Linked DNA regions of Canis lupus familiaris. The protein of the gene in region 1 interacts with the protein of each later gene in a biochemical or structural test. Links are inferred from orthologs where the notes say so. Each region holds a gene or a part of one and is shown on either strand. Other genes may lie near its edges.

Region 1 (7,583 bases):
AGGCCTTTAAGAATAGTATCCTAATATTTTTATGTAAGCTTGCTGTTTTGGGCTTGCACAGACTACCCTATTGATGTTGAGGAATTATACCTTCAGGTATAATCACATCAAAGATTCAAATTATCTTCTAAAATTTACTCACATGACTCTTAAAACTCATAGAACTTTAATTTCATTTTTTCTATATTGTAACCAAATCCTTTTAAGTGTAATAAGGTAGTAAGAGAGGTGTCTTAGAGCTAAAGAAATAAAACAAAGAATAAGTGTAACTAATGGGGGCTGGAGAATGAGCCATTTTTTACTTAGAGCTACATACCTTTTCTTCCCCCCTCTTTTTTTTAACCAAGAGATGAACACATTCTTCAAATTAAGCCCATTAAAAGTGCATATTTCAAAAAAACTGCACAGGCTTGGAAAGAGTAAAGAGAATTCCAGCACTGAACAGAAATTAGACCTTTACAAGAGCTCTGTCGCCTTTAAGCCTCTATATTAAACCCAAAGAGAAAATGACATATGGTTTGAAATGGTAAAAACAACCCAGGATACCTCTACCTCTCTTACCACTCTTCACAATTACCCCCACAACCCCCCCCACCCCCGCCATGTCATTTAGTGAAAGAACTAAAAACAAGATTTCAGAAAAGGTCACTACAAAATAGGTTTTCCAAAGTCCCCTCAAGTAGGGAGCATTCACGTATTTCAGAGGTAAAAAGCAGTAATCAACACCAACTGCTGAGTTCCTAATACTCTACTCCTCCAGGACACCTATCTGAATCATACCCAACCACTTTTTCATCATGGCACACATAGTGGATGGTATCTGTAGGCAAGCTGGAGATAAAGAGGGTAACCCCAGGGCCCACCTGATGGTCAAGAGTGCTGAGATCATTAGATCGATGTTCCTGAGGCTCAGCTCAATCAGAAACTTGTTTTTCCTGAGCCTTTTAGGATTAAGTGCAATATGCAATGCTCTCAGAAATCATTACTTTCAAATCCAGACTCTCCTAATACTAGCTTCCAGCCTCTAGCCAATCACTTCACTTAGCCTTAGTGAAGTATGGAAAAACTACCTATCTTACAGAGGTCCTGTGGAGATTAAAAATAATAGAACTAAAGCTCTTATCACAGTGTGTGGCAGGCAATCAGTGTATACGGATTGTTATTACCAAGACGGTTGCTGAATTAAAAAAGAGAAATCTGACCTCTGTACAGTGGTGATGTTGCTGATATAAGAAACTGCAGACTTCCCACTATGTCTAAGAGTTAAAACACTTTATAAAACAAGAAAAACCATAAACTGTCTCCCTATATCATAATGTTTTTCTCCACTAAAAATATATACTGTATCAAAAGTGATTGTCCTTGCCACCCATCTACTAAGGATTACAAGTGTGGGTAACACTGATACACACATATATACAAGAAGTGATTCTGGTACATTCATTCATATCCCGCAGAAGCTAAGCTCGGAAAACCAGTACAGGACCACAACCAGACATTCGGAAAGGAAAGAAGGTATCAGCACTTTTTTTTTGGGGGGGGTGGGGTGGGGGGGTGGATCTCTAAATTGAAAATAACCTAACCTTCTACAGACAAAAATTATTCCCCCACACAAATGGTAAACAAGATTCTTCCCTATAATTAGCCCTTTTTTTCCCTTGAAAGCCCTGCAAAGAAAGGATTGTACGAAACTACTTTAAAATAAGTGATACAGATAACTGCATATTCAGCAGACACATTAGGGAACATCTGGATCTCTGCAAAGAAATGTGAAAGTGGCTACTGGTAAATCATGCCAAGGTCCTATCAGGATGTGAGAGGATTTCACATACCCAGGGGAGAAATAAGCCACTATAAGCAATTCTGGGATGTATCAACGGTTTTCCAAACAGTGGTGACTCCCAATTTCCTCTTTTTGGTTAAGATAAGTTACGGTTATCAACCTCCAAACATAAGCTATCACTAGGAAATCTCTTTAATAACCCGGGATATGGGCAGCCCAGGTGGCTCAGTGGTTTAGCGCCGCCTTCAGCCCAGGGCGTGATCCTGGAGACCCAGGATTGAGTCCCGTGTTGGGCTCCCTGCACAGAGCCGGCTTCTCCCTCTGTCTCTGCCTCGCTCTGTGTCTCTCATGAATAAATAAATAAATAAAATATTAAAAAAATAATAATAATAACCCTGGATAAACTTGCTTAATTGGCAATTATTGAAGACTGGAATACACTGCCCAATCACAACACCCTAAATATAAATTTTAACCTTCCAGGGGAGGATAGTTTTGGAAGGACAACAAAGGATTCTTCTTGAATTGTCCTTTCACTACGCCAAAAAAACATTTAAGACAAAGCATAGTCTTTGCGCCAAGAAACTGGAACACAACAGAAAACCCAAGAAATAAATGACTCCTGAGGCAGCTGTGGCATCATCTCCACATTCATTCATTCAGTGAAGAAATACGGGAGAGCTCCTATGTTCCAGTAATCACTTGCGAGCAACAGGGATGCATAAGACACGGTTCCTGCCCTGAAAAAATTCAAAGCCTAAAAATAATGTCTGAAGAGTCACAAGAATCATTTTACAATAATACTGTATTCACAGACACAGAAACGAGTAAGATATACATTTAAATATATTAATAAAGGAGCTGGAAACAAACAAAAAACAGGCCGTCCACTGCGAGTTTATTAACAAATTTTGTTATATGAGTTAAGGGAACGTGATGACCAAAGTTGTAATGTACTTTCAGGACAAAAATTAACTTAGGGCACATGTTTTACAAAGGCCTCCCTACTCCCCCCACCCACCCACCCCTCGACACACACACACACACACACACACACACACAGCGACCACAATCTGCAAATTGGGTGCTTTTCAGCTTGACACGTCGGGCGTGGCACTGGAGATCTCACACAACCCCGAAGACACCTGGATAAGCTCGCACAAGCCTGGACATTCAGGTTTCCCAGCAGAAGCCAGTTAACTCCCTAATTCTCCCTAAACCTTGAAACAACACTGCCACCTCTCTGTGCTGTCATCCCTGCCCACTTACACACAGACACCCAGGCTAAAAGCAAACCACAAATCACATCTTCCACTCCTTCAGGAACAAATCTCCAAGAGGAATTACCCCCTCACTCAAACAAAACAAAACAAAACCCCCCAAAAAAAACCTATATTCTCTCCCTCGCTTTACAGGCTAGGTGATGCTAATAGGGGCAGACAGACCTGTGCAGTTCAAGGCGGAGCACCTAAGGACTTCAGTCTGAAAAAGCCATTGCTTTAACTGGCACAAAACCCTGGCGGAGATGCCTCAGAAGCAACTGCTCTAGTACAGGCGCGGAGTGGAGGAAAGGGAAGGAGGGGAGAGGGGCGGAGTGAAGCGCGGGGACTGCGGCGGGGGCCGGCGGGTCCCCCCGGGTCGCGGGCACCGCCCAGGCGGGGACCTCGGCGCGGCGGCCAGAGATGCAGGGTGACCTTCCGACGAGGCCGGCTCGCGGAGAGGCCGGGCTGGGAGGACCACGCCGCGGCTCGCGGCCCCCGGCTCCCGGCTCGCGGCCCTGGGCTCCCGGCTCCCGGCCCCCGGCTCGCGGCCCCCGGCCCCCGGCCCCCGGCCCCCGGCGGTGCGCTCGCCCGGCCCCCGCTCCCAGCCCGGGCTCGTCCCGCAGCTCGCTCCCGGGCGGAACGCGGGACGTGCAATCTCGGCGTCCCGGCCCTGAGCCTGGGCCTCGGGCCGCCGCCGCCCGGACACACCCCCGCCGCCGCCGCCGCCGCCGCCCCGCGGCCCCGACCCCTCCCGCGGCGGCCCGGGCGGGCATCGCTCACCTGCACCGCAAGCCGGTCCGCCGCCCCGCGGGCTTCGGGCGGACAGAGCTCGGCCCCTGTCGTCTGGGAGGCTCCCCGCCGCGGGCGGCAGGAGGACGAGTCCGACGGGCGGCGGCGGAGCCTGGGCGGCAGGAGCGGGAGCAGCAGCAGCAGCAGGAGGAGGAGGACTCGGGGCGCTCCGCTCTCCGGAGATCCACCCTCCTCCTGGCCGCTCTGCAGCAGCCGCCGCAGATCACTTCCGGGGCGCCGGGGAGCGGGGCGGGGCCGGCTGGGGAACTACTTCCGGTCCGTGGGCCGAGAGGAGGGGGCCGGGGGCCGGGGCTGGAGAACAATGGCCGGCGGGGCGCGGACTGGCCGGCGTCGCCCCGCTGCGCTGCCCCGCGGGCGGCCCTACCCAGGCCCCCCGCGCCCGGCGAGGTGGGGGTCGCCGCAGGCCTCGCGGAGGTGCCCGCATCTCGGCGTCCTCGTCTCTCTTGTGGGGCCCGGGCGGGGTTCGCGGGGAAGGAGGGGACGCGGAGGCCGCCATCTTGCTCTCGGCGGCGGGGGTTGGAGGTGGTTTGGCGGGTGGCCGCCCGGCTGGCGGGCTTCGGAAGTGCGGGGCCTCGGTCTGCGGAGGGCGGAGCGGACGACCCGCGGGTGCCTCGGGTCTTTCAAGGTCAGGGCCCCCCGCCCCTCCCCCCCAGCACCAGCACCGGGGACGGGGCGGGCGCATCCACGTCCCCACAAAGAGGACATGCGGCACGCGGCGAATCGCGCGTCGGAGCGTGGGCAGTGATTCCAGGACTTAAAAAGGTCAAGCCTGGGTTGCTGGGGACAAAGGTGATGGAGACGCAGGGACCAAATGTCTTCACTCCTCGGTGAGGCAAGGAGGAGAGGAGTGACCCTGGACAGCTTTAGGGGAGGAGTGGGGCCACAGGGCCTGTGCACGAGGGGCCGGCGCAGAAGTCTAGGGAAAGGATGGGGCCATTGTGTGGGTAGCGGTGAGCGTCCAATTGCAGTTGGTTGCTGGGGGCAGATTCTCGGTAAGCGAATGGAAGTAGCAATAATGATGCCTGGAAGAAGCAATAATGATGCCTGGAAGAAGCAATAATGATGCCTGGAAGAAGCAATAATGATGTCTGGAAGAAGCAATAATGATGTCTGGAAGAAGCAATAATGATGCCTGGAAGTACCAATAATGATGCCTGGAAGTACCAATAATGATGCCTTATTTTGCTTTTAGAGGAGGGTGAGGGTAAGATCTACCAAAATGAGATAGGGAATGGCGGGGATGGGGTCAGGGAGTGCCATTTTGGACCTGGCCCATTGAGTGCGGTCTGGCAGTTGCCGCCTGTGTCTAGAGCTCTGGGGAAATTCTGGGCTGAGGTCAGGGACACCACAGGCTCGCATCCCCACCTCCAAGCCCACTGCAGTCTCCTCTCATTGAACAGTCTCAAAACCACTCCTTTTCCTTACCTTCTTGTGGGAAGATTGCTGAAATAATCACCTTTTTAAATCCCCCGTCTGGTAGTACATGTCCATCCACACATGCTAACACCCAAATGTCTCCCTGGTCAAGACTAGAAAGGTCAGGCTTACAGAAAACCCAAATATGGCCATGTTAGCTAGTGTAGCAGCACAAACTCCTAAGATGGAATGCCATTGTTAACGTAAAAAAAGTTTTTAAGTTTAATCATTGGCGATAAACAGCTTATTTAAAGCAGCCACAAAGGATTGTGACGGGAGGTTGCACAAATACCTGTCGAATGGAGAGCCAGGAGGTCGACTTCCAGAAAAGTGAGCAATGGGAACACAATGACGGTCAACCTCGAGTTGATTAGTCAGCCTGTCTCAACTGCTTCTTGGCTGTTGAAAGCCAAGCTAACCTACCTGAAAGCAGAAATAGAATGGGTCGTTTTCAGCAAAGACTTCGGAAAGCTGCAAATAACAAAACCCCTATAAATAAGAGCTGCAACAGCAAACCAAAGACTATGGGTTTTTATTTGGCACTTTTGAATGTAAACCACGAGGGACTCTCGCCTTTAGTTCTTAGATTATTCAAATATATTATTCTCAGTTTTCTTAGAGTGGAAATACATGTAGGTGTATTAACAACCAGCTAATGGATACCATACTGAACTGGAAATGAGAACAATGATCTCGAGGCCCCTTTATGTTCTTTGTTCACCATATGACCCTAGCACGGTCACTTAACCTCTCCATGCCCTAGTTTCTTTGTAAAATAGAGATAATAATAACCCTCTACTGGCCTGCCTCTCGGAGATATTATAAGAAATAACAAATTAATGCTTTAAGAGCTCTTTGAGGTACTTGGATGAAAGGGTATAATTGTAACTATATATTATTAATAATTAACACTAATATCCAGTAGAACTCATGAGCATTCCTAAATTTGCTGCCTGGGCAACTTCAAGAACATGAAGGATTCTGTTTTTGAAATAGGCTTAAGTTTACAACAACAACAAAAAAGATAGGCTTAGATTTATTCCTGTGTTTAATTTTCATTATTTATGATCAAACCTTGTCTATTAAACATAGAATAAGTAAAGAGTAAAAGATTTTAGTAACTAATTCTTATGTTCACTGCTATTATAGCTAATCTGTGTTTTGGACATATACAGGTAGGTATGCTTTTGTCAGAATCTTGTTTTAGAATTAGTCATTAGTTTACTGTAGTCATATAACTGGAATTTTCTATGAAAGCATTACTCATGTCCCTATAGAATAAAAAGTTTTACCTGCAGTTACATGTTTGTCTGAAACAGGAAGCATTCCTGTGAATTATCTGTCATTCTCATCATTGATTAACCAGAAATACAAAATAAAAAATGTATAGGCCTATGAGGTTTTGTCCAATGTCTACCCTGCAGTAGATGAAGCTTTGCCCATTAGATTAGTAGATTTATAGGGATCTGGGTGGCTCAGTTGGTTAAGTGTCTGCCTTGGGCTCAGGTCATGATCCCGGGGTCCCAGGACAGAGCCCCACATCGGGCTCCCTGCTCAGTGGAGAGTCGGCTTCTCCCCCCAACCCCGCCCCCCCCCGGTTGTGCTCTCTTGCTTGCTCACTCTCTCAAATAAATAATCTTTTAAAAAAGATTAATAGCTTCATTATTTCTTTTTTGAAAGGTATATGCATATGTAAACACATTTAAACATTCATGGCTATGTAATATGCATATTTTTATACACATATGCCAATTTATAAAAATATGAAGGTACATTAACTACACATATAGTAACAACTGTCAACAACAAAACCCTCTGGGTGTATTGGCCAGATAAGAAAGCAGTTGGTTATTAGCAATTTGTCACTATTGATGGAGAAGCAACTCAAAATACATGTTATTGTCTATAATATCCACGATACCTTTAACATATTACTTCATTTTGTATTCACAACAACTTTGTGAGGCACACGTTGTTTAAAAAAAAAAAAAAGGCTCAGCAGACTTAAAGACTGGTTACAAATTGTCAAGTAGCAGAGTCAAAGTCAGACTTTTGAGCCTCAAATGCACTGTTCCCTGTAGTACTTGATACGTGGTTACCAGCTTGATATGACAGTTGTGCCAGGATGTATTTATAATATGGACATTTCTGGCTTATGATTGATTGCAGAATCTAAAATTCAGCCAGGCTTAATTTTTTTTAAACTTAAGCTACTATTCTTATGTTTATGCCTGTGTCTTCACCAAAAACTTTGGTTTGTTCATCTTCGTATCCTTTGTGACGTCAGGTGTAAATATTCAAAGTATTTTAGG
Region 2 (7,356 bases), on another chromosome or scaffold:
CCGCTCCTGAGCGCTGCCCGCACGTGGTCCGCACGTGGTCGGGGCGACGGCAGCGACGGCAGCGTGTCCTGGCTCGGCTCCGGGCCGGCTCTGTGGTGTGCCTTGGGGGGGGGGGATGTAGCTGGAGAGAGGTTGGAGAGAACGCGGGGGGGGGGGGGGGGGGGGGGGAAGGAGGGAGGGGAGGAGGGAGGGGGGAGGGGGGCCTGAATGGCGCCCTGCAGGCCCTGGGGATGGAGGCCGCCTCCAGCGAGGTCCCTGGGGGCCCGAGCGGCCTGAGGCTCTAGGCCCAGCCCGTGCCCACCTGTACGGCCGCCCGCATCTGGGCGGAAGAGCCCCCCCCCCCCCCCCCCCCCCCCGGGCTCCAGGTTGCCCCGGGGCAGAAGCAGTGCGTGTTCCAGAGAGCAGCCCTCGGAGACCCGGAGACCCGAGGGCACCGCGAGGGCGGCGGGCAGCTCCTACGGCCTCCACTGTGTCCGGCTGCAACGTGCATGTCTGGGCCACCCCGATGCCTCGCGGATGCCACGTGCCATGCCACAGCCGCCTCCCTGCGGCCGGAGGGAGGCCTCCCCTGTCGCCGACCCGGGCTTCCCACCCCTCCCCCTGGCAGGCACGGCCTCTGCCTGCGGTGCTCGCCTCCTGAGCCCCCCCCACCATGGGCCGCAGCTCCTGACCCCTGCAACACGGGGCTCACTCACCCCTGGCTGCCCGCCCCCCCTGTAGGCCGCAGCTCCTGACCCCTGCACCGGGGGACTCACCTGGGTCCCACCCCCCCAGGCCGCAGCTCCTGACCTCTGTACCATGGGGCTCACCCCGGGCCACCCCCTCACCCCACATAGGCCCTAGCTCCTGACCCCTGCACTGCAGGGCTCACCCCTGGCTGGGCCTCCTTACAGGCCATGGTTGCCACGCAGCCGCTTACTGTTGTCCTGGGAAAGGTGCCGTGAGTACCCTGAGTTCCAGAAAAAATTACTCCCTGTCTGGATTTTGTCCTGATGATGAGGGTCAGTTTTTGTTGCCTAAATGAGGAGAGACCTTTCAGTTTAATAGAACCTTCTATTCCCCTGGCAGGGAGGGTACAGCCAAGGCCCCAGCCTGGAGACGACGCTATTATGGGAAATTCTGCTATTATCTGGTGAGGAGCCAGACAGTGATGCTGGCCAGGGCTCTGCGGGCAGGGGACACAACCCCAACCCCAGGATGTGTACCTGGGCCTGAGAAGTGAGCTTGTCCGGAGATGGCACAGGCCTCTGCAGCCGGCAGTGCACGCACCGCCTAGATGGGCCGCCCCAGGGGATCCCTGGGTGGCTCAGCGGTTTGGCGCCTGCCTTTGGCCCAGGGTGCGATCCGGGAGCCCGGGATCGAGTCCCACGTCAGGCTCCCGGCATGGAGCCTGCTTCTCCCTCCTCCTGTGTCTCTGCCTCCCTCTCTCTCTCTATGTCTATCATAAATAAATAAATAAATCTTTAAAAAAAAAAAGAAATTATAGATGGGCCACCCCAAAGGGCCGCGGGTAGCTCCAGGCCCACCTGCTGCTACACCTCCCACAGGCCTGCAGTACAAACACTGAACAGGGTGGTCAGGTCATTAAGGGCCCTTCTGCCCTGGATGCTCCCTGGGGGCCATTCACGTGACACACAGAAATTGGCCAAAGATGCATTTTGTGTGAGGCACGGTCGGAGTTCTTAGAGCCACAGATGGCAACCCCTTCACCACCCTTGTGCCTCTGCCGCGCAGCTACCCTCCTTTCCGTTTAGCTGTAACTGGTTATTCCAACAGGTCTCAGACTTTTGGGAATGTCTAGACCAAAAGCAGACAGCGTAAAGTCATGTGGTCCCAGTGGCAGGCCACCTCCTCCAAGAACCTCGCCCTGTGCTCAGCTCCACTCGTGTGCCTCTGGCTGCTTAGGGCCCTTGGGGGAATCCCTTCTGAGCCTGGAAGAGGCGTCTGACCTCAGTGGTTTGGGGCTCTCCTTATAGTGTGCAGTGGCTTTCGTGTGCCTACGTATTGCCCAAACAGGGACATTTTGGACAGTGAAAGGGGCTCTCTTGTTAGGCCAGGATAACAGACAAAAAACAGAGTTCTCTCAAGCAGAGTGGGACATGGGATCAGTTAACTTGACATCTTCTGCAGTCTGAGCGGCCAGTTCCAGGACAACCAGAACAACCCCTCTAAATACCCTGTCACGGGGGCTGAAACTCCACCGTCCTACATAACGACGTTTCTTTGTAGAGACTTCCAGCTCCTTCGCTCTCTGCGGCTTCTGCCTTGTAAAGCCGAGCCCTCAGTTACGACTGATTTCCTACTAGTTCTCTGTCCTGGCAGAGTGGCCCTAACAAACCCAAGCGCGCACTTGACCGCATACATTGCAAACTTAGGGCTGCACGTCCCAGGACGGCTTTCAGCCCTGCCTGGAAATCTTACATTTTCTTAGTCGTGTGCTTCACAGCATCAAGGACAAGAGGTCTCATCCTTTCTCTTCACACCTCCCGTGCCTCCCATCCTCTGTCTCTACCAACGATCTTTACGCATCTTGTGCTAAGAAAGCAGAAGGAATCAGAAGAGCGCTCTCAGTTTTCCGCTTTCCCTCCATTTCCAGCACTGCCTCTTCGGGGCAGGCCGCAGACATTTCTGGCCTAGGCTGCTGCAGGCCCCCCTAAGCGGCAGTGTCCTTCCTGTCGCCCCGCCGGGTTCAGCCTCAGCCCGAGATCCTGCAAAGGCGCGCCCCTGGCTAATGCCCTGCACCGCCACGGCCCATGGAGGTGCTCCCCGCCTTTGACGTCACCAGTCACCAGCTCTTGGGACCCTCCAGATGGGAGCCTGGCTGTCTCCGCCACGACCTCCGACGGCCCGTGACCTCGGTGCGGCCCCTGGCCTCCCAGCGCCCGGGTGGCAGCTGCAGCCACCTGCCGGCGCCGAGCCCGCCAGAAACGGACGAGAGTCATGCTGGGCCCTGCTTGCGTGACCCCGGGGCTACCCTGGGCCCTCGGGCGGCGTCCTCCACGCCCGGCTCCGCTCTAGCTGCACCGCACAACCCTCCGCCCAGCCAGCCCGCCCGCCCGCCCCGCAGCCCCGCCCCGGCCCCGCCCCAGCCCCGCCCCGGCCCCGCCCCAGCCCCGCCCCGGCCCCGCCCCCGCAGCTCCGCAGGCCCCGGCCCCGCCCCCAGGAAGCCGGCCCCGCCCCTCGCGGGGAGGCTGCGCCATCGAGGACTCGGTGCTCGACTACCGGGCGGATCGACGGCGTCGGCGCTCCCGGCGGGCGGAAGTGAGGGCGCGGGCGGGGGGCGGCCCCGGGTCGGTCCGCGAGGAGCGCCGGCGCGTTGCGGTGGGGGCGTCGGGGCGGCCGCGGCGCCAGGTACGTGCTGCCTAAGGGCCCCCGCGGCTGGGGTGAGGGCGGGGGCGGGGGCGGGGGCGGGGCGGGGCGGCTCCCGGAGGGCGGGGGTGGTGCGCGCCGCGGGGCCCGCCTCCTGCGCTGCTGCGGGGCCCGGACCCTGAGCCCGAGGGCGCGGCGCCCTGTGTCCCCCCTGGGCCCGGGCAGCTGCTGGAGGAGGGGGGCCCGACCCGCCAACGGCCGGGCACCCGCTGGACCCCGGAGCCACCCCCACCCGCCCCGGGCACCTGCTGGAGGCCCACAGCCCTACCCCCCACCCCCGACCTGCCCCAGGCACCTGCTGGAGGCCCGGAGCCCCACCCGGGCACCTGCTGGACCCCGGAGCCCCTCCCCCACCCGCCCCGGGCACCTGCTGGACCCCGGAGCCCCTCCCCCACCCGCCCCGGGCACCTGCTGGACCCCGGAGCCCCTCCCCCACCCGGGCACCTGCTGGACCCCGGAGCCCCTCCCCCACCCGGGCACCTGCTGGACCCCGGAGCCCCTCCCCCCACCCGGGCACCTGCTGGACCCCGGAGCCCTTCCCCCACCCGCCCCGGGCACCTGCTGGACCCCGGAGCCCCTCCCCGCCCCCGGGCACCTGCTGGACCCCGGAGGCCCCCCCCCACCCGGGCACCTGCTGGACCCCGGAGCCCCTCCGCCACCCGCCCCGGGCACCTGCCGGCCTGGAGCCCTGACCCACTGCCCCTCGAGTACCGGTGGTCGCCGTCCCCATCCCCTCGTGCCGCGCAGTCGTTACCGTGCCAGGTGGGAGAATTTATTGGCGGAGAGCGGGTGTGAAGCCGGGTTGCTTAGTTGCTCAGATGGCATCGCGTACAGGTGCACCGAGCCTCGTCTGGGCGCCTTTGTTCGCTGCTCTAAGCGTTCACGTTTACTGCCTGATTTAATCCTCTCAAGAGGTAGCTGCTCTCATGTCCCCACTTTACAGATGGGGAAGCGGAGCCCGCAAGGTGACGAAGCTGGTGTGTAGTTCCGCAGCCTCCTGACTTCCTTTGAGACCATCCCCGAGTCTCCAGGCCTGCACAGCCAAGCACGGGGTCATCTCTTAGGGAAGCCTGTGACGCTTTACTCGGTATCCTAGGATTTTGTGAATAGCTGTCCAAGAAACAGTTCTTGAAAAGCTTGTCTTTAAACGGAAATACACTATTCTTAATTGGTAATTAAGAATTATAATTATGAGAATTATAATTATATGGATCTCAATTGTGAGAAAGTTTCTTCTTTTTTTAATAATTCTGAGTAAATTTATAAGGAGAATTTTTTTTTTTAAGATGTTAAAGAAAACATCTTTAACAGATGAGAGAGAGAGGCAGAGACCCAGGCAGAGGGAGAAGCAGGCTCCATTCAGGGAGCCCGATGCAGGACTCGATCCCGGGTCTCCAGGATCAGGCCCTGGACCGAAGGCAGGTGCTAAACTGCTGAGCCCCCCGGGCTGCCCTATAAGGAGAACTTTTAAAAATACTTAAGAATGAGCCACAGCTCAGTTAAATCCTTGGGATGCGCTATGTTGAAAAACTAGTTCTACCTGAGGTTGTGTGGCTCAGTCTTCTAATATATAATAATATTTTATTTATAAAAGCATATTTTGGCCAGGCTTTGTGTCACTGCCTCTACTAACAAAGAAACTAGAAGCCAAAAGTTTCCTGAGGATCATCTGTGGGTTAAAAGTTGTTAACTCAAGGGGTCGTAATAGAGGATGATGTGTGCTTGCTACTCAGATGTTCTCTTCTGTTTACACAGCAGAGAAGCAGAGGATCCCCCAGCGTAATTTGGAATGACTCTTGGAGGTTTCAGAAATTTCTTTTTTTTTTTTTCATATCAAACATTTGATTGTACTGAATATAATTTTGGACTATTACTTTTGAAAAGATGATTATTAACCTGCTTAGCTAAATTTTCATTCATCCCTTTAATATTTGCGAGCCTGTTATGTATGAATCTTAATGGGAAATGAAATTGGCGTTCAAAAAATTTTGCAGAGGCATTCTTCTAATAAAGGACTTTGGATGATTTCTAGTGTCCTGGCAGGATAAGGCCAGTTTTATAGTTAGTCTTTTAAGTACTTTTCCCACCCATTTTTCGATTTATTCATCTTTACGTAGCCAGGATCCTAGTGCAGCACCTACCGCACTGCAGGAGCATAAACGTTTTACTGAGTGGAGGAGTTTTAGGCCAGTGTCGAGTAGAGAGGATTTTGAAATCGACGGGCATGGGAACGAACGTTGATCAGTCTGCTAAGCAGAAGGCTAGGATGGTGAGGAGCGTGTCCACGGATCTCCTGGAGCGCCTGGTGAAACTGCACGGTAGTCGTGTGGTTATTATCACATGGTTCAGTGTATGTTTATGTTAATTTAAAATAATTATTCTCGATACAAACACACAAACTTAAAGTAATTGCAGGGAAATATGACTCCCAAAGCTCTGTGACACCCATAGTCCTCCTTGGCCCTCAGTGTGAAAGTTACGGCATCAAAGCCACCATTGACTGGTCTGTGAGCTACCACCCACCTGCTACGCAGCTCGGGCTCCGCCTCTGGTCCTCAGTGTCCTCTTTCCTGTAACCACGTTATCTGTACGAGCTCTTCCCTGGTTTGAACGCTTCTAGCTCAGTGATTCCTGCAGCCAGCTAGCACTGTTATATCCATGTGTTGTCCTAGGGGCTATAGCTGTTATTGGTATTTACATAATCTGTCAAAAGGCTAAGTAAGTTCTGGCTGGACGGGGGTTAGCCTTGGTCATTTTTCGTCTCCCAGTTTTACATATGCCTGGCACATTAGAAATAAAATATTAGGCTAGATTCAGAGGGGCAGTTTTGTGCTCTCGATTGAACAATAGCTAAGAACTTGACTATATATCAAGTGTCCGTACAGCAGGAATTCAGATGGGGGAAGTTTCTGTTGGAGTTGGGACAGAGGTCAGTCCTTGATGGGAGGATCTGGCCCTTCGTGGGGAGGGCACAGGAATATCTGGGTGGTACACCAAAAACAAAGGCCCACAGGCTGGTAAGTAAGTGCGTTTTGGATTATGGAGTGCCTTGGGGGTAGGGCAGAGGAGTTCGGAACTGATTTTTTATGCATTTCACCCCCCAGGAGAACTGTATTAGACTTGCTCAAAAGCTTCATGAGCATTCTTTAACTTGATTCTGTCGGGAACGTTTAAGATGACCAGCTGGATGTGGTGCATCCCAGTCTTGATTTCTGGTTTTGATTTTAATCATTCCTTCTACTTACGTTTCCTTTTTAAGTCTGGGAGCCAGTCGTGGAAAAAACAGTGGACACTGGGGTTTAGGAAACGTGGAATGTGGTTAATTAGAGGGGAAGCTGCATAAGGTGGATCCAAGCAGGCCCCTAGTGGTGCCTGGCACCAAGCGGGCATTCAGTAGTCCTTGTGCAACGACCAGCGGGTTCTCCCATTGCTACTTGCTGGCTGTGCTGCCGTTGGCAAGGTTGGCTCATAGTTTCATCCGTGAGGTTTGATGAAATTTTTGAGGCCTTTCCCACTTGATATTGGCGGGTGTATGATTTTTAACTTCCATTCTTTTATAATTTTACTGAAAGACAAGACAAGACTAAAAGTCAGGAATATTTGGTTTTAGTTTAATTTTAATGAAATCCCCATGTGATTGACATGATGTGTATCTGGATAAATGAGAGTCTCAGCAGGAATCAGAATTCATGCCAGATGGTTCACATAAGGAGGTTTTAATAAAGGGACTACTTGGCGGAGGTGTGGGCGAGGTTAGGTGACAAATAAGGGGTAGTGAGGCCCAGAGAGAAACCGACCAGTGGGAGGAGCAAGAGGACAAACTGCAGCCTGCTGGGAGCTGGGGCTGCAGCGAGGGGTGTGGCTGCTGCCAGAGGCTTCCGGGGTGGGGTGGGGTGGGGGGCAGGACTGTGGCGCCCCCACCCCAAAAGAGTCCACTGCCGACTCTCTCTCTCCTTCCTAGCAGATTTCTTAGATAGTTGTTGATAC
Region 3 (6,577 bases), on another chromosome or scaffold:
CACGGGAGTGATGTGAAAATGGTTGATTTTGGTTTTTTTGTTTGTTTTGTTTTTTTACTTCAAGGCATTCTCTAAGTACAAGGGTCTTCATCATTTTCAAATATGACCTCTAAAACTTATCTTGCTTTGCTTGAGAATTTCTTATTGTTTCTAGTCCACTATCTATATATGATCAAGTCAGACAACATCTAGTATGTGGCTTTTTTTGCCAGGCACTCTGGGGATATGAGAGTAGCCAGGTCATGTTCTCTTAAAGGATTAACCTGCTGGATGTGCATCAGAGGCCTGTTAAAAAAAAAGTGTGTGTGGGGGGGGAATCCCTGGGTGGCTCAGCAGTTTAGCACCTGCCTTTGGCCCAGGGCGTGATCTTGGGAGTCCTGGGATCAAGTCCCACGTCGGGCTCCCTGCATGGAGCCTACTTCTCCCCTCTGCCTGTGTGTGTCTGTGTGTGTGTGTGTGTGTGTGTGTGTGTGTGTGTGTGATGAATAAATAAATAAAATCTTTAAAAAACATGAACCAAAATAAAAAATCAGATTCCCAACCAGCTGAGCCACCCAGGCACCCCTTGGCCTATGGTTTGAATGCTAACCCTATCTTCAAACTTCTCACTCCCTTAGGCCAAATTCCAAGGAGTCTCTTAGAACTAAATTCAGATCTATCTATCCAATAGTTAAAACTTTCAAGCATCAGAACAGCTTGGGTTTTCTTAGTTTGGTTTGGTTTGGTTATGCAATCAAGATTTTATACACGCACGCACACACAGTTTTAATGGTTTCCTTGGATTTTCCTTAGAATAAAAAAAAAAGAAAAAGGACTGCTATGGTTGAGTGCCTGAATTACATTACCATTAGAAACAATGCTTGCAGCAAATTTCTTTATCTCAGTTACTCATTTTGGAAGGTACTTGTATTGCAGGGTTGTCCTTGGCTATCTTTCTGACCCAAGTGAAAACATTCAGGATCCAGTGAGTGACAAATTCTTCAAGGAGGTGTGGGTTGCAACGGCAGCTCGAAATGCTACAATATATGATAAGGTGAGGTTTTCATCTCTCTCCCTACCTTTTTCATTGAATCACACCACAAAAACACGTCATTATTACTGTATATTATTGGTGCAGAGTAATGTTAATGGGTGTAAAAATCCAGTACATTTCCAAGTTGTAATAAAATACCGCTTTGTAGATATTAAAAAACAGAGTCAAAAAGTATCATGGATTATGGTGTAGAAGAGCCATTAGTGGCATTCTGATCTCTCATCTGACTGTGGGATCCCATCATGAGCATCCTTAGAAGGTGGTTACCCAGCCTTTGGACATGTCTAGTGACAAAGAGAAAAAAGGCAGATGGAATCCCAAAATGAGTCAGACCTGGGTTCAACCCAGCTCACCCAGCTGCTGGTGATACAAATTTGTGTGTAGTGATTTGACTTTCTGAGCCTTCCTTTCTTATCCTATAAAGTGGGCAAGATATTCATGAGGGTGGTTATGAAAATAAAGAATAGTTTTTTAAATGTATTTAGCACATAGTGCATAATAAATGGTATCCATTCCTGTGATGGAATTTATTAATAATGAAACACTTCCTTTGTTGGGCAGCTCTACTTTTGGAAGGGTGTTTTAAAACAAGCTCCATATGTTAGGGAGGCTAAATGTATCTTTTGCTAAGTTCTCTCCATGGCTTATGACAAAGAATGTAGAAGAGTTAAGAGTTGTCCAACAGTGGAATGAGTTACTTCATGAAGTAGTCAGCTTTCTCTCATAGAAACTATTCAAGCTGAGATCTGCTGACCATCTATCAGAAACTAGATAAGAGTGTGTTGTTCTTCTTCATGACTGCCAGCGTCCCTTCCAGCACAGAGAATTCATCATTCCTAATGAAACATGACAGTCTCCATAGCTTTACTTCATGCTGAGGACTCAAGGCCATGATCAAATAGGTCATGTGCATGGAGTCCTTTAAAATGTAATTTTAAAAATGCAGTGCACAGCCCTTGTTTGGATCCTCATGGGAGGAGAGGATAGCAGCTATAAAAAAAAAACATTTTGGGATTAATAGGATAAATCTGAATATGGACCATATCTTAAATGACTTGGAATTGGTTTTCTGAGGTGTGAGAATAATATTGGGGTTGTATAGGCACATCCTTATTCTCAATACATGCTGAAATTTCTAGGAGGGAAGTATTCTGGTATGTGAAGCTCATTTGCAATTGGCAAATTAAGTGTACAATTGATAACTTTAAGGTACAGATATGGACATTTTTGAAAATAAAAAACATAATATGCAGTTTTCCTCTTAAACCAGAACGTCCAGTGAAATTTGGAGAATTATTATCAAAAAACTTAACCTTAATGTGAAGTAACATCAGTGGAATTCCTGTACCACTAGCTTGACTTTATCACGACATCGATGACTTGTGTAAATCAGATAGAGGGATCAACCTATGATTTTTTTTTTTTTTGGATGAAAGCAAATCTAGTAGTCTCTTTGTAGCAAATAAGAGAAGCAACTCTTCAGTCAGGTGTGTGCTGTAGCATACAACTACTACGTGTTTCATAAAGCAAAGATTTCATCAGTTGGAATGAATATTTTCCATAAAGGGGCTATCTTTTCTTTTAAACTTATGACCTAGTTTCTTCCTATTTGTGTCTTAATCAGGTGTTCCGGTGCCTTCCCAATGATGAAGTACACAATTTAATTCAATTGAGAGACTTTATAACCAAGCCCATATTAGCAAGGGAAGATCCCATTAGAGCTGAGGAAGAACTGAAAAAGATTCGTGGCTTCTTAGTGCAATTCCCCTTTTACTTCTTGTCTGAAGAAAGCCTACTGCCTTCCGTTGGGACCAAAGAAGCCATGGTGCCCACAGAGGTTTGGACCTAAGGGTTGTATTCGTTTGCAGCTCAAGGACTTCCTCCTTGAAAAGTACACTGCACACAGTGACTTTATGGAGATCCTCACAGCCACAGCCAGCCCTGCCTGAGGCACGCTTGTTTCCACCCTGTGGACCCTTTGGGTTGGCCGGGCAGGGCTGCAGTCCTACTGAGATAAGGACACTGAACATCAGGTGGGCTTTATAATTCCTCCTGTTTATCCTTGTGAAAAAGGGACCGTATCCTGATTGGTAGCACACGCTCAACAACTTAAACACATGCTCAGATTCCACGATGGACACCGAAGTGCCTTTCCTTTGCTAACAAGAATTTATCTGTACCTGTGATCTAGGTTGCCAAAAATTGTCAAAACCTCCTTATTCTTCTCTGACCCTCATTTATGCAGCCGATGACTGCTGGACCTGCCCTCACTTCATAGTACATGCAGACACTGTTTGAGACGCTGTGTATTACTAGAAGGCGTCGTGATGCTGCTTCCGGGTTCTTCCAGGTGACATGGGATGCCCCTGCCCATCTGGTCCTGAAGTAGTAGTGTTCACCCAACCAAGGATGTTCCCTTTGCAGGGACCGAAAGGATGGGGGCAGACATTCTGTACACAGCAGCCCATGACAGGCGCGTCTGATAACATCGACACTATAGATCTTCACACCACAGAGCAACAGGAAGGAATTAAATTTGGTTATTGAGGCAGAGATTTCACGTTGCCTCCAAAGGCAATGACAAACTATGTTCTTTTGATAAGGCCCACCCGATCAAATTTGAAAACACGTGTTGGATATTTCATTTCACGCCAACTGCTAAAACTCAGAGACCGAGCATACAGGCTTCAGAAGCCTCCAAGGCAGCCATGGAGATCTGACCCAGACAAAAGAAGATTCCTTGTAGTTGTATAAAATTTCCTATCATCCTTAGCTTCTGGATTGATTGAAATTTGAATTTCAACATTGGAAAATCAAGCCACTGAATGCAAGTTGTCTTTCAAGAGAACCAGAGGCTTCATAACTCCTACCAACTTAATAAGTAGGAACCTAACTTTGACATTCAGCTCTCCAGCTATGTTACCTTCTTTAAGAAAAATTAATTGATTGCAAAGTATGTGCTACTTAACTGGCATTATTAAATATGCATTAACATTCCACCAGGCTTCCAAAGAAGTTAGGATCTTCATTAATTCACATCGTCCTAGTCTATGAATTGTTCTAGAAACCCATTTTTTTTTCCTTTTTGAATAGTAGTGTACCCTTTGGTACACCATAGCTCTAATTTTACTGAGCAGAAATATTCTGACAGCCTGAAGAGCTGAGGTGGGTTCCCAGAAGGCCCGTGCCCATGAAACATGATGTAGGTGCACTGATGACATGTGTGTATTACCGGGTACGAATCTCATTGGGGTCATTCCTCAAAAAAGCAAGGACCCAATCCTTGTTTTCATAGAGCTTGGGAAACATTAAACAGGAGCACAAAGTCAATAATCTGGGTGAGTAGGAGAGAGTGTCACACTCAGGAGAGGACTTTGCAGCGAGAGAACCTTTCACAAATGAGGTAGGACTGTGCTTTATGAATAAATACTTTTTCAGCTGAAGATGGTGAAAAGACTTCATTGTATGGCAGCTGTAAATAAGACATTTGCTACTGATGAAGTTTAAATTGGCATTTAAAGTGTTGAGTGGATGTGGAATACCTAAGGATTTCTTATAGTTTACTTTTAAATATTTTTAAAACTAAAACAGTCAACACACTGGCTTTTGATTTTGTTCAAAATGCTCTCCTAATACCATGAAAAATAAAAGCCCAAAAGGTCCCCTTCCCTTTAGAAGAAAAAACAAATCACTTAATATAACCTCTCCCCATTTTATAGATGAGGAAACCGAGGCCCAGATTGGTTGAAGGTCTCACTTGAGTTCATCCAACTGAGAGATGGTGGAGGTAGGACTAGTGAAATTGCTGTGGCCCATTAGTGGCCTCTCCCTTGACTTTGTCATTGTCCATGAGTGAGGAGAGGCAGGAAACAGATCTCAGGCAGGATATCTCTAGGCTCTTTTGAACACTGTGATATCATGGATTTGAGTGCTCATCTGTGTCCCCCCTGCTTGAATGTAAGCTCCATGGGGCAGGGACTTTGCTATGTCTTGTTCACAGTGTATTTTCAGAGCCTGGAACAGTACCTGGTACATTGGAGGTACTCAGTAACTGGTGGGTGAATAAATGAGGTGGAGGGGAGAGCTAACGGAATGACAAACTTACAGAGTCTCAGGCAAGAAATCTTCCTGTGGTTTCTGTGGTAAGTTTCCTTTCTGCTGCATTTTTTTCAAAGGCAAGATGTTCTTCTGCAAAGATGAGAGGCTGCCAGCTTTACCTGGGTGGATTCTATGGAAGATTCTGTGCAATAGTTACCTATTTGCAATAGCAGCTTACACAGGGCAGCGTTCTGCAAAAGTCACATGGGGTATGGACACGAGGCATACTGCGTGGCCTGATTACCCATCATTTTAACCCCACTACCATCTGATAATAGAAGTTAGAACAATTTATCTTTAACGTTGCAATATCTGATATCAACTTTAAAATGCAAATGATTCAAAGCCTTGAAAAGCTATTAGGAATCTGGTCGACATTTTTAATCGATTGTAATCTCCTGAAATGCCCCTCAATGCTGTACCCAATATTCTGGTAATCTCTGGAACAATTTTTGTTTTCAAGAAAGAAAAATTCTGTGATTGTACAAAATGAATGGTAGAAAGTAGAATAGCTGTTCAAACTACTCAGATTGTCCAAGCTTTGTTGTTAGAGGATACTCAACATCGCCGGTCAGGAGCAGGCATTTGCTCCGTATCAAGTGTCCACGTGGGGATGCGCCCTTCTTTGGGATGTTCTTAACTCTCAACTCTAATGCATCACGCAGAGGCTTGGAGAGGTTACTGGTTTTGTGTTAACAGCACCCTTGGAAGGAAATCTCATCTGTAGGTAGTCAAAACCATGAGCCGTTCATCTCTTATGTACTAACTTGGGAAATTGTAATAGCTCATGAATGAACAGTCTCCCAGCTGAGAGCAGCAGGCAAAGCAGCCTTTCTGCAGATGTCAGGCCACAGCCAGACCAGACCTGCCTACCCATCGGAGGAACCTGCACTTCCTCCTGTATCTCCTCGCTCCTTATTCCCTTGGCCTCTGTCCCCAAGCAGAGCACCTCCTGATTATGTAATCCATTTTAGAGGACAAGAAAAGAGTTTCTGAAAAAATTAGGCCCCTACAACAAATTTTCAGTTTACCTTACTCTTCTAAGCGACTGACAAAATATGATTATTTTTTGACAGAGGTAATCGTCTTTTTAACATCCCTGATCTGATATGGCGCTTGAGCATTTTCTGATGTCTGTCACCCTATGTAGCAGGGGGCAAAGAGGATCCTTCACGTCTTCTCATCTCTCTCTTGGATAAAATGAGCAAATGCTAAAGGACTTTAAGTGTGCTTATGAATACATTTTTATTTCCCTGGAAGATCCTCTGAGGCCAATTACTACTGGCACTTTGGAGGTTTAAAATGGATGGACCTTGAGAAATTCTTGAATCTAGAAATTCATGAGAAAAGGAATTCATCAGCATCTCTCAGAAAGTTGCAGATGAAAAGTCAGTGAATTCACAGTATTTTTAGGGGAGTGGACAGGTACCATAAAATGATAATGAT
Region 4 (7,379 bases), on another chromosome or scaffold:
CCCCCCCGAGATGATTAAATTAAGCACTGTCTCTGCAGAATATAATAGAAATGGAAATAATTTTACTATATTGGATGGATGCTTGTAAGGTAAATTTTTCATTTGAATCAGCTTTGTAGTTTATTTACTCCTAGACAATCTTTAGGATTAGAGGGAACTGGAGGGAAGATACTAGAATGTAGTTTTTACTCACATATGATTTATGGTTGTTTCAACTAAAAGGTGTCAATTCACACTAACTTACAGATCTTAGAGGTTATAAAATCATTCCTGCAGGAGCCAAGGAGATTCGAGAATTCTTGTCATAGATTGCAAATAAATGGACACAAATTCTTCCCAGTGCTTCCGTGTAGGTGGAGTCTATTTCTCCATCCCTTGAATCTGGAGCATGGCATATGACTTGGCTTGGCCAATGGGACATTAGTAAATGACATGTTTGCATGCTGAGAATACAAGTAACCTTAAGAAGATGAGAGACCATTGCAGAGAGAAGCTTAGCCATCCCAATTGCCCCAGATGAGTCCAACTCCCACCTAATCCACCAACTAACTATAACTGCAAGAGCAGTAGAATAGCTTAAAGCCACTGAGTTGTGGGGTGAATTGTTGTGAAGAGCAAATGTGAACTCTTACAGTTCGGACGCCTATTTTTGTCATGAGCTCTAAATAGTGTATCTTTTATATGATATATAAAACTATAACATTTTATTTAATATTCATTATTTATTAAATATTAAATTATAATCTATTTATTTAACAATATAAAAATAGGACATTTCAACTATGTAACAGTGCCATGACCCAGTGAACTGTTTAGGTGCCAGTCCCAAGGATACAGGCAACAAGCACTGGATTTTTTTACTCTGTTCATCCAAGGGTGGTGTAGTCTTTAGAATATTTAATCCAAGTCTCATATTTTTAAAAAAAGCATTATTGAAGTATAATTCTTGTACCATAAAATTGACCCTTTTAAAGTGTACTATTCATGAAGGATATTCTATTTTCTTGTGATGTTGTTGGTTTTGTTATAAGGGTGATTGTCCTCATAAAATGAATTGAGGAGTGTTCCTTACTCATCTATTTTCTAAAAAGGTATTGATAGATTTGGTATTATTTTTTCCCCTTAAAATATTTGATAGATTTCACCAGTGAAGACATTTGATCTGGCCTTTTCCCTGTGGGAAGATTTATATTTACTAATTCAAGTTTTTTACCCTGATATATGTCTATTTGGATCTTTTCCTTTTCTCTTCAGTTAGTTTTAGTAATTTGTTCTCTCCAGGAAAGCCTCCATTTTCAACTATTTTTAAAATTATCAGAATTATGATGCTCATAATATTCTCTTAGAATACTTTTCATTTTTGTAAGGTCTATAGTATTCTCTCTTCATTTCTCATTTTGGCAATTTAGGTCTCTTTCTTAGTCTAGCCAAAGGTTTATCAATTTGATATCTTCAAAGAGCTGACTTTTGGGTCTTTTTCTCTATTTCCTTATGCTTCAGATTTTTTGATTCCTATTTTTATCCTGTTTCCTGATTTCTACTTAATTTAGGTTTGATTCACTTCTCTTTTGCTACCTTCTTGAGATAGAAGCTTAGATTACGGTCTTTCTTCTAATTTTAAGCACTTAATGCTACTAATTTCCCTCTAAGCACAGTTTTGGCTGCTTCCCTTAAATTTGATATGTTGTATTTTTGTTTCCATTCAGTTCCAGGTATTTTCTAATTTTCCTTGTGATTTCTTCTTTGTCCTATGGATTACTTAAAAATATTAATTTCCAGTTATGTAGGGCGGGGGTTTCTCAAATTTGTTTTTGCTAATTCCATTGTGGAAAGAGAAAATAACTTGTATGTTTTCAGTCCTTTAAAATTTATAGAGATTTGTTCTGTGACTTGCCTTATGATGTATACTGGACAATGTTTCATTTGTCTGAAAAGGATGTATATTCTGCTGTTGGGAGTTTTCTGCATATGTCAAATATTTCAGTATTGGCTGATACTGTAATGAGGGTCTTCTATATCCGCCTTTCTTTTCTCTTGTTTATTGCTGAGAAAGAAATTTGAAGCCTCCAACCACAAGTGAATTGTCAATTTATCATTTCAAGGTCCATATAGCGATTTCACAAAGGGCTCAATAATGTCCAACTCAGGCCAGTGCCTATCCCTCGTCCCCATTAATGGAGCAAGGAGCACTTGTAACTGGCATCGTAAACATGCCCATCTCAGCGGTCAGCCGACACTCTTCTGTCGCCAGAGGGTCAAAAAAGAGCTCCTCAAACTGTCAGAAAACAGACCACGTCGGTATCTAATTCCAGGAGACTCTTCACCTTCAGGCTTAGGGGGATGAACTTCACTGGGTAGAAAACGCAGGGTATGGGCAGCCCGGGTGGCTCAGCGGTTTAGCGCCGCCTTTGGCCCAGGGCATGACCCTGGAGACCCAGGATCGAGTCCCGCGTCGGGCTCCCTGCGTGGAGCCTGCTTCTCCCTCTGCCTCTCTCTCTCTACCTGCGTCTTTCATGAATAAATAAATATTAAAAAAAAAAAAAAAAAGAAAGAAAACGCAGGATACAAGGGAGACTTGTTCTCAGATCTGTTAGCTTATCTGAGAGGTATAGCGCAAGACAGGTTACATAGGTTAATCGACATTATACAATGAATCTCTCGAGAGTATCGCACGTAGGAATGGAAATGATTGGGAAGAGCATTTAACCCAAATCATTCCCCTAATAATGAGCCAACCTTAATCAAACAAGAACACCTCAAAGGACCCGACTTCCAGCCATGCATTAGCAGAATAATTCTTCAAGCCTTGCTTAGGTTTCCCGGGGGGGAATTCAGTCATTTTCAGCCTTCCCTGCAACTCAAGTTATTTCTCTTCGCAACCTAACCACGCGGCTGGGCAGTCCTAATTCAGGTGTTCCCTGCAAACGTCGAGCCAAAGAGGGCGGCGGAAGACGGTCCCGCAGCCCAGCTCGAACCGAAGGCTGGCCCTTGCCAATTCAGGAATTCTCGGCGGGGTCTGCACACACAGTTTCACGCAGATTTCCCCTCGGAGGCCCACGGCCGGAGTCCCCACCCAGCCCAAGGCCGGGAGGATGCCCCACCCAGGGGCAGGCCGGGCCGGCCCCCGAGGCCGGTCTAACTGGTTAGGACGGCCGGAGCCTGCTGGCACAGAAGGGCTGCACTTCGGGAGCTGAGGAGCAGCCGGCCAGAGCGTGCAGAGAAAAGCGCTTCCCTTTCTCCAGACCACCGGAGGCGCTGCCCGCCAACCCGTCCTCGGCGATCTCCGCTCGTGGTAGGTAGGTGCCGCCTCCCACCCAGTCCCCCAAGACCGGGAACTGCGCACGCGCCCGCTGAGCCCTCCGCGGCGCATTCTCTCGCGCGCTCCCTCAGTCTCCTCAGCGAGCCTCTGGGCCGAAGTAGGCGCGGTGCTTCCTGGGTGTTGTAGTGTGGCTCCTCGACGGAGGGCCCTCTTGTAAACTGGGCGCTGGGCGTCCGAGAACTACGCCTCCCAGCGTGCCGCGCGCGAGGGCACAGGGCGTTCGCCCTTGACGGCTTTAGCCGTCAGCGCAGAGAGGAGGACCCAGGAAGCCGGCAGCGGCGGGAGGAGGGAGTGCGCTTGCGCGGTGGGCCGGCTCGTCGCGTTCTGTCCCAATCATTGTAAACAGGCGGAGGCTGGGGCGGGGTGGGAATGGGGCGCCCGAGGCCGGCTAGGGGCGCAGCGCAGGAGGCGCCTACGGTGGCTGCGGCGGCACGGTGAGCGCGAGGCGGCGGCGGCGGCGGCGGCGGCGGCGGGGCGGGCGGTCGCGCGGCGGCAGGCGCAGGTTGGTGGCGGGCAGCGGCGGCGCGCAGGGGTCGTGGCGGGCCCCGCGCCCCGGGGGAGCCTCTCCTGCGCGCCCCGCCGCGGCGTCTGTCAGGCGGCGCGCGGGGCTGGCGGTGGGGGTGGGGGGCGTGGCTGCCCGAGTGCGGGCTCTTCCCCGGCAGGCTGCTCCCCGGGGGTCGCCCGGCTGCCGGCCGTTCCTCCCACTTGCCGGCCGGGCCTCCCTCGTGGCGTCGGCATTTGGGATTCGGTGCTCTCGGGGTCCGGAGGGGGGAGTCGGGAGCCGGCCGCTCCCCGCGGAGTCCCCAGGCCTCGGCAGCGCCGGGACGGGGGACTCCGCCTTTTATATAATCACTCTTTCCTCATCGCCCCCGGAATATTGAGCGGCCCCAGGACCGGCCCGGTGCACCGGGACAAGGCTCCCGGGGTTTCCCTCCGCTGGCACGAAGCACCGGGGCTCCTTTGGGTGCTGCGCTCTCGCGTTCAGGTTTCCCTGCGGATGGACGGACAGATCTGGAGTTGAGAATTCCTTTTACAACTCAATTTCAAGTATGCTTGTGCCAAAACGCTCTTATTGAGGACACTTTTTTTTTTTTTTTTTTAAATCGTTGTAGGAATGGAACAGGTTTTTCAAAATACTCCACACCTCAGTCTTAACCTGAAGTAATTAAACGCTGTTTTGAGTTTTGGGGTTCATTCCTTCAGGGCCTCCCTCTTGGCCAAGCAGCTTGTTTCCTCTAAGGCCTGGTTGAGTCTTTGAAAGTAGTTAGAATGTTAACTCGAGGTAGTGTGCGTGTGCCTTGTAAGAGAGGCACAGTCGTCTGGACGGGGAGTTCACACATCATCCAGCCTCACCAGAAGAGCTCTCACTGAATACTTTGGAGTGGAGTGGGCATGCTCGCTTGCTGCAGCACTTTCCGTAGCCTTCCATCATTCTTGGCGGTTACTCATCAAGTATTTAAGTGGTGGTAAGGAGCACGCTGACTTTTGGGTTGGTGATCATGGAGGCAGCCCTGCTAACGCAAGCAAATGGGACTGTGAATAAGAAAAGTAACCTCCCTTGACGCCTTTCCGGTTGTCTTGGTGATTTGCTAGTTCCTTTCTGAGTGTCTTTCTGAAAATGAGTAATTGCTGTAAACGGTACTGGCAGTAGGAGAGGTAGGAAGGAAGTTAAAGTGGTTCCCACTTTTCAGAGTGACCCATAGATTTACGTGGGTGGACTAGTTTAATAGTAACTAACAACCGAGAAGTAATTCTTTGAACAAAGTGTCTCGAAGCAATGTGACATACTTGGCTCTTTTTCAAAATAGTATCTCTCATTTTAGATCTTATTTGGAAAACTAGAAGTAGTATCAGAGAATCAATACCAACTTTAATTTGCACCCTTATATTTGCACAGCTGTTTGCTTGGCAAGGGGAGATGGGGCTTGAAGGTATTCAAAAGTATGTTCTTTTTTTTTTTTGTTGTTGTTTCTTTTAAGATTTTATTCATTTATTCATGAGAAACTCAGAGAGGGAGAGAGAGGCAGAGACACAGGCAGAGGGAGAAGCAGGCTCCATGCAGGGAGCCCGACGTGGGACTCGATCCCCCGTCCCCAGGATCACAACCTGGGCGGAAGGCGGCGCTAAACTGCTGAGCCACCCGGGCTGCCCTGTTCTTTCTTTTTTTTTTGAAAGAAAATTCCTGATAGAAACTTTAGTATATGTGGAAGGAATAAAGAAGAACGCGGATCGTTTAGAGGAATTACTGTGTTAGCAGGTACTATGGCAGGTGAGGAGGACTTACAGATGGATAAGGCTGTGCCCCTGCTTTCTGGGTGATAAGACTTTATCTCTTACTTGAACTGTTAGCAAGTACAATATGTTTTTAAGATTACTTAGAGAAAGTATGGGGGTATAGAGGTGTACAAAGGAGATAGTGATCAGTTTCCTAAGGGAAGAGAGAGATGGAGGAAGGTGGCAGTGGTAAGGAGAAAGTGTGTACAGGAGGGGATGCAAACAGTAAGAAAGGACATTTAGGTAGAAGGAACAGTGTGAGCAGAAGCATGGGAGTCTCCGCTTCCATAGTGAGTTGTAGGATCTGCAGGTATAGCTAGTGGGCAGGGGCCAAATTATGGATGGTCTTATACACGGTTGAAGTAATTTCAACTTTTGTCTTACAAGCAAATAGAAGTCACTGAGACAGGATAGGGAAAACAGAGGCCTAAGCCAGCTCAGCCCATTTTAACTCCCTCCTATGTGTCTAGTGTTACATTAGGTACTTTATGCTTTATGTCCTTAAACTTGAAGGTTTAGGCATGACTGAGGCAGAAAATGAGGAACTTAAGGCAGAAGGAAAGCTGAATGTGATTAGAGAGCGTGGAACACTTCGGAGAGCTGGAAGCCATTGTCTGCAACTATAGCATTGGATTTATGGTGGTGAGTTGCACAAGAGGAGGCTGCACAGATAGATCCTTGAGTATTGCATGACATTCTAAGGATTCTAGAATTTTTTCCCCTAGAATATAGATAATAGAGTTTATGGATTTTAATCAGGAAAGAGTCATAAAATATTCATCTTAGATCATTCTGGTATTGTAGAGTGCAGATTTCAGAAGGGATGGAGGGAAGATACGGCAGGGTGCAGAAAGACTGGTTAGGAGTTTTTGTACTAATTGAGGTGACAAAAAAAAAAATAATTGAGGTGGCAAGTAAGGTCCTCAGTTAAACCAAGGCAGAGTCAGTGGAGATGCGAAACAGTAGATTAATAGCACAAACGTTTAGAAGGTAGAATTCAGAGGATTCAGTTACAGTTGGATTTTAACTTGGATCATTGAATAGACAGTGGTAAACTGCAGTTGACCCTTGAACAGTGTGAGTGTTAGGGACACCAGCCCTCCCCTTGCAGACCTCCCCCTTGCAGTCTAAAATCCGCATATTACTTTTGACTCCCCCAAAACTTAACTACTAATAGCCTATTGTTGACTGGAAGCCCTACTGATAACTTAAGGTCAATTAACACATATTTTTATATATTATGTATTGTATACTATATTTTTACAATAAAGATAAAGAAAATGTTACTGAAATCATAGGGAAGAAAAAATACATTTATAATGCTGTATATATGTGTGTGTGTGTGTGTGTATATATATATATACATATATATATATATATACACACATATATATATATATATATATATAAACAACCAAACACATTTGAGTAGACCCACACAGCTCAAACCCTTGTTGTTCAAGGGTCAACTGTACTGACACAGGGACTTCAGGAAGGGGAGCCAACTGGGGGGAGGAACAGTATTTCAGCTTTTGGATATGTTGAGGAGTTGTCTATGAAACATCCAGGTGAAGCATCAGCTATAGAGTTGGGTGTGTGGGTTTGGAGTCGAAGAGAGAGGTCTTGCTCTGAGGGTCAGCAGGCTATATTATAGGTGGTAGCTGAAATCTTTGATTTCTGTAATACCATGTAGGAAGAGCTTACCAGTGGAGTGTAGTTCTGGAAATAGACAATGGAGAATAACATTTAAAGCCAGATAGAGGAAGAAGACTTGGAAAGGGAAATT

Evidence for each region.
Region 2: the proteins of RALA (region 1) and EXOC2 are reported together in a solved structure, tested with the Homo sapiens proteins (2 studies listed by BioGRID, with this or other methods). The link is inferred for Canis lupus familiaris from reciprocal best matches to the Homo sapiens genes RALA and EXOC2.
Region 3: the proteins of RALA (region 1) and PLD1 form a complex in vitro, tested with the Homo sapiens proteins (2 studies listed by BioGRID). The link is inferred for Canis lupus familiaris from reciprocal best matches to the Homo sapiens genes RALA and PLD1.
Region 4: the proteins of RALA (region 1) and RALBP1 form a complex in vitro, tested with the Homo sapiens proteins (3 studies listed by BioGRID). The link is inferred for Canis lupus familiaris from reciprocal best matches to the Homo sapiens genes RALA and RALBP1.

Annotation. Positions count from the first base shown.
Region 1 is NC_049239.1:10,201,917-10,209,499, forward strand, and holds the start of RALA (ras-related protein Ral-A), read right to left. Parts: upstream 4,055-7,583; 5' UTR 3,826-4,054; intron 1-3,825. UniProt on the Homo sapiens protein: Multifunctional GTPase involved in a variety of cellular processes including gene expression, cell migration, cell proliferation, oncogenic transformation and membrane trafficking.
Region 2 is NC_049256.1:2,369,764-2,377,119, reverse strand, and holds the start of EXOC2 (exocyst complex component 2), read left to right. Parts: upstream 1-3,255; 5' UTR 3,256-3,351; intron 3,352-4,011; exon of another isoform or gene 4,012-4,131; intron 4,132-4,259; exon of another isoform or gene 4,260-4,283; intron 4,284-7,356. UniProt on the Homo sapiens protein: Component of the exocyst complex involved in the docking of exocytic vesicles with fusion sites on the plasma membrane.
Region 3 is NC_049255.1:36,167,165-36,173,741, reverse strand, and holds part of PLD1 (phospholipase D1), read left to right. Parts: intron 1-915; coding exon 916-1,033; intron 1,034-2,657; coding exon 2,658-2,882; 3' UTR 2,883-6,577. UniProt on the Homo sapiens protein: Function as phospholipase selective for phosphatidylcholine. Implicated as a critical step in numerous cellular pathways, including signal transduction, membrane trafficking, and the regulation of mitosis.
Region 4 is NC_049228.1:75,538,719-75,546,097, forward strand, and holds the start of RALBP1 (ralA-binding protein 1), read left to right. Parts: upstream 1-3,158; 5' UTR 3,159-3,296; intron 3,297-3,609; exon of another isoform or gene 3,610-3,753; intron 3,754-3,786; exon of another isoform or gene 3,787-3,821; intron 3,822-7,379. UniProt on the Homo sapiens protein: Multifunctional protein that functions as a downstream effector of RALA and RALB. As a GTPase-activating protein/GAP can inactivate CDC42 and RAC1 by stimulating their GTPase activity.